Linked DNA regions of Caenorhabditis elegans. The protein of the gene in region 1 binds, or shares a complex with, the protein of each later gene. Each region holds a gene or a part of one and is shown on either strand. Other genes may lie near its edges.

What was found.
Region 2: rpl-5 (region 1) and rpl-11.1 share a complex: the UniProt entries of both Caenorhabditis elegans proteins name them as parts of the large ribosomal subunit.

The regions. Positions count from the first base shown.
Region 1 is NC_003280.10:8,567,490-8,571,535, forward strand, and holds rpl-5 (Large ribosomal subunit protein uL18), read left to right. Parts: upstream 1-2,437; 5' UTR 2,438-2,443; coding exon 2,444-2,632; intron 2,633-2,684; coding exon 2,685-2,867; intron 2,868-2,912; coding exon 2,913-3,251; intron 3,252-3,299; coding exon 3,300-3,470; 3' UTR 3,471-3,497; downstream 3,498-4,046. Other genes in the region: col-38 (Cuticle collagen 38), read right to left, coding at 589-1,314, 1,443-1,580; bcs-1 (Mitochondrial chaperone BCS1), read left to right, coding at 3,607-3,833, 3,878-4,046. UniProt on the Caenorhabditis elegans protein: Component of the ribosome, a large ribonucleoprotein complex responsible for the synthesis of proteins in the cell.
Region 2 is NC_003283.11:3,584,551-3,588,268, reverse strand, and holds rpl-11.1 (Large ribosomal subunit protein uL5A), read left to right. Parts: upstream 1-2,204; 5' UTR 2,205-2,210; coding exon 2,211-2,345; intron 2,346-2,395; coding exon 2,396-2,611; intron 2,612-2,660; coding exon 2,661-2,900; 3' UTR 2,901-2,936; downstream 2,937-3,718. Other genes in the region: T22F3.2 (Ubiquitin carboxyl-terminal hydrolase 36), read right to left, coding at 102-266, 511-640, 690-852, 908-1,150, 1,204-1,437, 1,488-1,629; pygl-1 (Alpha-1,4 glucan phosphorylase), read right to left, coding at 3,480-3,656, 3,717-3,718. UniProt on the Caenorhabditis elegans protein: Component of the ribosome, a large ribonucleoprotein complex responsible for the synthesis of proteins in the cell.

The DNA.
Region 1 (4,046 bases):
AAGTAGGTTGAATGCACACACTTTTTCAGAGAAGGTTCCATTTGAAAATTATTAGTTCGGGGTGAGAACCATATTTTGCCGTAAATAGAAAAAAAATGTTGCAACTGGGCACTGTGAGAAATTTCCAATACTTATGGTAACACATACATTTAAAAAATCTAGTCTCCGAATAAATATTCCATCAGACTGAGGATTTCACTCAATTAAACACGCTAATTTAAACCCAAAAGAAAATAATTTTAGGATTTTACAAAATTTTGGTAAAATGCCAAAATTACCAACAATGTGAGATTTTAAAGCAGTTTTGAGCATTGATGCATGGTCGAACCTCTAGAATGTTCAAAAATAAAACACACGTTTGAAAAATGTTATGCCCCAAACAATTTGCCTGTAAAATTGAAAAATGCTGAAAAAATGCTGAAAAATTTTTACTATTATACTTGGTTATTTTAGCTGTATAAGAATGGTTTTTAGCACTATTTCTGAATTTTGTAGGAAACACTAAAATTCGCGGATCAACTCATTCGTAGCCATAATCAAAATTTGAAATATAAGATTTTATTTGAAATTAAATCAAAATAAAATAATTTAGTGCTTCTTGGCTCTAGCTGGGCATGGGCAATAGTTAGCATCTGGTCCAATAGATCCATCCTTTCCTGGCAATCCTGGTTGTCCATTATCAGCATCACGTCCTGGTTGTCCATCTGGTCCCTGTGGTCCTTGTGGTCCTTGCTCTCCATCAACTCCAGAATCTCCGTTCTTTCCTGGTTCTCCTTGAGATCCTGGCCATCCTGGAGTTCCTGGTTGTCCTGGAAGTCCTGGTCCTCCAATAGTTCCATCTTGTCCAGTTGGTCCTTCAGATCCTTCAGTTCCTGGCTCTCCTTGTGGTCCTTGTTCTCCAGTGATTCCGGCCTCTCCTGGAGCTCCATCTTCTCCACATTGTCCTGCAGATCCAGATGCTCCTGGGAATCCTGGCTCTCCAATATCTCCGTCTGGTCCAGTTTCTCCTGGTGGTCCTTGTGGGCATTGAATGCATCCTCCTGGAAGATGATGGGTAACAGCCAGAGATACTCCAGAAGCTCCATCACGTCCCTTATCTCCAGATGGTCCTTGATCTCCACGTCCTCCTGGAAGTCCTGGTGGTCCTGGTGGTCCTGGTGGGCATCCTTGAGAGTTGGCATCACAATTACATTGAGATGGATAAGCAGAACGCTTGTTACGGAAAACGCTGGCGAAAGCGGCACTGCGGGATTCAGAATCAAGAGATGGCTTGGTGAATCCAATCATACGATTCCATGCATCATCAGACATCACCTGAAAACAGTTTTTTATAGGCATATCCAGTTGAATCCTTTCGGAGTCCAAGTTGACTATAACTCATAGATTTATAAAAAACTAATACTTTAAATATAAATACTAACAGGTTTATCATAATTACCAACCTTCATGTCATGGACTCCAGTTACAATTTCTTCTCTCATCGTGTCAATATCGACAACAATGGAATGCATGGCGACAAGGGCGCCAAAAACGGCAACCAGCGAAATAGAAGCACAAACGGGAACCAAATATTTTGACATTTTTAGACGATGTCTGAGTGTTCCATCAGGAAACGATTCATTTTAATAGTGAAGACGTTCGTGGTGAGATATAATGTGAACTTGAGAGAGATGCGTGACGGTACTGGAAGCGAATCCACTTTTTTCGACAGCGCGAAGAATCGAATAAAAAGTTAGGACCGTATGGGAAATTGTTTCTAAGTTTTTGGTGCAAAAAACCATTAGTGATAAGGAAAACCTGCTTTTCCGTCCATTTTTCATTGCCGGATAATCTTCTTGAGTGTTTTTTTTTCTGATTTGCATTAAAATTGGTTTTTTAATATCTCAATTCATATACGATTTGTTTTCTGTCTGTTTCCCTACTAAAAACTTATATTTTGAAGTTAATTCACAACGTTTTCTCGTTTGGAAGCGATGCCTACCGTACCCTTGCTGTTTGAATTCCCGCGCCTGCGCATCAAACTTTATGTGTGCAGTGGCGGTGTACGCACACCATCAACTCGCGTCTGATTGCGGACTTGAAGCAAATTTGTGTTGTCCTAAAAATTTTCTATTCTTTTTTTGATTTTTCAGTGCTTTTCACGATTTTTTTAAAATAAAATTAAACAAAAAATAAGATTACACTGATTTATCGATTTTTAAAGTCACTGTCTACACTTTTTCGATTTTTTCGAATATTTATCGTTTTCTTTGCTTGAAATTCCGCCATCTTTGAGAGTTTCATTGTTCACTCGTAATATTATTTTTGTTAGTCATTTTTTGCTAATGGCGAACGCTAGAACTTCCCGTTTCCTTCGAAAATAAGCTTGGTTTCTTCCCGATAATCGTTTCGTTTCTCTCTTTCTATACAGGATAGTTTTAAAAATATAATATTGCAGAAGAACATGGGTCTCGTCAAGGTCATTAAAAACAAGGCCTACTTCAAGCGCTACCAGGTCAAGCTGAGACGTAGACGTGAGGGAAAGACTGACTACTATGCCAGAAAGCGTCTTACCGTCCAGGACAAGAACAAGTACAACACCCCAAAGTACCGTTTGATCGTCCGCATCACAAACAAGGATGTTGTCGCTCAGGTAAGGTTTTCATTAATTTCAAATGTAGAATATATTAATTTAAGTGTTTCAGCTCGCTTACTCCAAGATCGAAGGAGACGTCGTTGTCGCTTCGGCTTACTCCCACGAACTTCCACGTTACGGACTCAAGGTCGGACTTACCAACTACGCCGCTGCTTACGCCACCGGACTTCTTCTTGCCCGTCGTCACTTGAAGACCATCGGACTTGACTCCACCTACAAGGGCCACGAAGAGGTATTTTGTATTTCTATTTGATCTTACTTTAAATTCATACTTTAGCTTACTGGAGAAGACTACAATGTAGAAGAGGAGGGAGACCGCGCTCCATTCAAGGCTGTCCTCGACATCGGACTTGCTCGCACCACCACCGGATCCAAGATCTTCGCTGTGATGAAGGGAGTTGCTGATGGAGGCATCAACGTTCCCCACAGTGAGAGCAGATTCTTCGGATTCGATCAAGAGTCGAAGGAGTACAATGCTGAGGCCCACCGCGACCGCATTCTCGGAAAGCATGTTGCTGACTACATGACCTACTTGAAGGAAGAGGATGAGGATCGTTACAAGCGCCAATTCTCCAAGTTCCTTGCCGCTGGATTGAACGCCGATAACCTTGTTGCCGTAAGTTGAATTATTCCTATTTTTGTAACCAATGTTTAAAATATTCAGACTTATCAAAAGGTCCACTCCGCCATCCGTGCTGATGCCTCTCCAGCCGCAAAGAAGGCTGCCAAGCCATCCAAGAGACACACCGCCAAGAGGCTCACATATGACGAGAGAAAGCAACGTGTTGCCGACAAGAAGGCCCTTCTTCTCCAACTCAAGGAGCAACAGGAGTAACTCTCTTTTTGTTATTTCGTTTTCAAATGAATGTATTTGTTGACAGTCTCGAGTTTTGTTACAATTTGTTCGAGTACGATAAAATTATACATTGGATTTCTTGATTTTTGAAGTCTAAATTTCAGTTAAAGTTAAGATGTCGGAAAATCCTGTCGTTTCCGATAAAAAACCAGGCCCATCAAAAGACTCTTCCTTTTTCTCCGATTTGTATGACAATTTGAATCAAAACCCGTATTTTAATGCGGGAGCTGGTCTAGCGGGAATAGGAATAGCAATGAGCTTTCTGCGGAGGACAGCTCAAATCAGCAACACGTATTTTCGTAGGCGTTTTATGATCAATCTTCAAATTAATAACGAAGACGCGTAAGTTATTTACAGAAATCCATCAGAAAATATAATGATTTTAGAGCGTATCCATGGCTTCTCGATTTCATTAATAATCGAAGTGCTACCCAAACACGGAATTTATCAGCGAATACAGTTGTTCATCAAGCTGAAAGTGGCAAAACTGAATTATCAATATCATTCCTACCTGGCCATGGAACTCATTTTTTCGTCCATGATTATCGATGGATC
Region 2 (3,718 bases), on another chromosome or scaffold:
GATGTATCTTTTTGCATAATCGCATTGTGGAATCAATGTTCTCTCTCTCACTTGTTTGAAACAGGAGAACTAGAAGGTCACATTGCCACACGGAACCTTACCGATGAATCATTCAACGTCACGAACTGCTCCTCTCGTTTTCTCGATCGAGCCACACACCAATAGTGGCCGTAGTCCAGCGTAGTCCCACCATGGATCACAGCTCCGCACAGCTTATAGACGGTGGATGCGCCGGCGGTGGCCATACTCGTCACATCGAGAGTTTCCTGAAATCAAAATTGAATTTTTTTTTTGTTGCTTAATTTAACTATTTTTACCCATTTTTCCGAATTTTTAAGCACAAATTATTAATTTCTATTCAATTAAATGACTTTAAACACTTAAAAGTGCGGAAAAATAGGTGAAAAACCATTCGGATAAAACTGTGCGGCGGAGTTGCGAAATCGCGCGCCGCGGATTGCGCTCGCGACTCCGCCCTTTTTTCCTGTGCCGTTTTCTTTAAAAACTAACATTTAAGGTGACAGGCCGAGAGATTTTCTTCCCCCAACCATCAAACGAGAAGCGAGAAATGTGCATTAGCAGGATCTGTGGAGCTCGGAGAAGTGTGGGCTTCACTGGCGCGTCGGATTTCTTTTTGCACCTGAAAATTGGGGAATTTTGATTGGAAAATGAGTTCGAAAATCCAGTACTTTGAGCAATTATAGCCGAATATCTTGGATTCCGTGAACAGAGCCTGCATGAGTTCTTTAATGGAGTGGCTTTTGCCTGATGGATCCTTTCTAAGCATCCGAACCGTCATAACGGTGTTGTGCTCATAGTAGACGTGCTTGTTCTTGCACCCGGGGCATTGAACTGGAAATTAAAATTATTTTCTTTAAAAAAAAAATCAATAAAGTGCTTCAAAAACCTTCATTTCTTATGGAATATCCGAACAAATCATCGGCCACTTTGCGGCCTTTCAGACGAGGATTGCTCTGCACCGATATCTTATCGAGCTTCCCCAGAATCGCCAGGAGAGCATCATGAGCGTCTTCCTGGCGGCCTTGATTGAATTTTCGATCTTTTTTGAATGCTTCACGGAACCAATTGATAGTTCCAGCATGGCCATGGCTTTGAAGGAAGTTTTTCTTCCAGTTGCAGCAGAGACAAGCTGAAAATTAGCATAATTGCGAGAATATTTCATAGAAAAATCATAAATCAAACCTGTATCTTGGCATTGATGATCCTGAAGGATCCTTACAATTGCCGGAACATGCGATAATAATTGAACACACGAGATCGCATAGCAATAAATCGACGGATTCTGGATTCCCTTTTCCGGATAATTCTCTCTCAATTCTGACCAATTCCAAGCGTAGAGACTGCTGACGAGTTCATGATTATCCAAAATCTCGTTTCCCCGGTCTGAAAGCGTTCGTGGGCGATTTGCTCGATTTGCTGCAAAAAACAAAATTAATCAGATTATTCGCAAATTTTCCAAAGCTTACATGGTGAATCAGGCGTTTTTCTATTAACTTCAATTTCAGGAGCTCGGGGTGCAGGACGATTTTGTGAGGAGGATGATGGAATAGTATCGAAATTAATCCATCTGTTCGTTTTGAACGAATCCCAACCCTCATTTACTGTCATTCTGTAACAAAAAACGTTGAAAAAAAATTAGAAATTCAATTCAAAAGAAGAAATTTCAAGAAAATATAGAAAAAATCAAGAAAATTCAAGGAAAACTTCAAAAAAAAAGAGCGAAAATCGGAAAAAAGCTGAATTAAATAATTAAATTCGAAAATTAAAGGCACACACCATTTTCGGGACCACGATATCTCGGCACGAAAACAAAACCGTACCCTCGAATCCTAAATCGGGCCGAAAATCATTTTAATTCGAGGTTTTTTTTTCTGATTTTTCGAGTTTTCCTCACAAAATGAGAGTGGTTTGTCGTTGTTTCGCCGTCTCTGTCACCCGTTTGTGCTGTTCTATCGCTTGCCCGTTTTCTCTGCCGTCTCTTCAGCGCATGCCGGTGTGTGTGTGTGTGTGTGCGCGTCGCTCCTCCCATTTTCGTTGTTTTAGGCCTAAAATTTGAATATCTTTCTAGGATCTCAAGATGCTAATTTTTTATCGGCATTTTTGAACTTGTGTCTATGCGTTTCTCTCTACTTGTTCTCGCTTGTCACAGTTTTCAAATTTTATGTATTTATGCTTTTTTTCAGGTAATCATGACGGACGTCGAAAAACAGACGGAAATTCGCGAGAAGAAGGGCCGCAATGTGATGCGCGAGCTCAAGATCCAAAAGCTCTGTCTCAACATTTGTGTTGGAGAGTCTGGAGATCGTCTCACCCGTGCCGCTAAGGTATTCCAATATATTCTACAGTAATTCGTAAATTTTCGAAATATTTTCAGGTGCTCGAGCAGCTCACCGGACAAACCCCAGTGTTCTCCAAGGCCCGATACACCGTCAGAACTTTCGGAATTCGCAGAAACGAAAAGATTGCTGTTCATTGCACCGTTCGTGGACCAAAGGCTGAGGAAATCCTCGAGAAGGGACTCAAGGTCAAGGAATACGAGCTTTTCAAAGAGAACTTCTCTGACACTGGAAACTTCGGTTTCGGAGTTCAGGTTAGCTTAAAGTTGAAGTGTTCAAAAGTGATGATTATTTTGTTTCCAGGAGCACATTGATCTCGGAATCAAGTACGACCCAGGAATTGGAATCTACGGAATGGACTTCTACGTCGTTCTGAACCGCAACGGAGTTCGAGTTTCCAAGCGCAGACGTGCACCAGGACGCATTGGACCATCCCACCGTGTCGATAAGGAGGAGACAATCAAATGGTTCCAGCAAAAGTACGATGGAATCATTCTGCCACCAAAGCCAAAGGTCAAGAAGAACTTCTTCCGTCGTCGTTAAGTTTTTCTATTTTCTGAATAAACTGTTGTTATTAAAAATGAAATTGCTAATGTTTTGTTAAAGTTGTGAATCATAGTCTGATTGTCGTGGATCTGAACTTCAACTTCCTGGAATCAATAATTTTACGTTGCGAATGGTCTTCTGATGTAGAAAGTTCAGGATATTTATCCAGGAATTTTGAAAACTCATCGAAAAGGAGTTTGGTATTTTGCTAACGAGCTGGTCGTAGAGGTATCGAAACTTCTTTGAAGATCCTTCAGACAGCCATAATTTTTAATTAAATTTCAGCATTTGCAGATTCGAGTCAAAATTAAAAAAAAAAAGTTGATATTTTCAGTCAATTTATCATAAATATGCAGGGCAGACGTGCAAATAGACAATCTCAAAGTATGGCAACACATTCGGGGGAAGTACGATTATTGGACTGGGGGCAGAGAGGACAAAATCAATTTGATCTTGAAGATTCACAAGAATTATCGGGGGAGGGAAAGGCTTCTATAAAAATGCTATAAACTAAATGGGACGGAGAGGAGGGGAAGTTATGGCGATAATTAATTACAATGTTAGTGCATAGAAGAATTATTCGCTCTTCTCATTCTCATATGGTGCTGGAAGAGAGCTCTCGAACTGGTCGATTCCCCAGATTTCACGAGCGTATTCGGTGATTGTGCGATCTGTTGAGAACTTTCCGGTCGAGGCGATGTTGTAGAGGGCCATGCGAGACCACTTCTCTTGGTCGCGGAATGTAGCGGAGACCTGAAAATAATTTATTTTGATCAGTAAAAATTTGAATTAGTTGAATTTTTTGAGTTTTACCT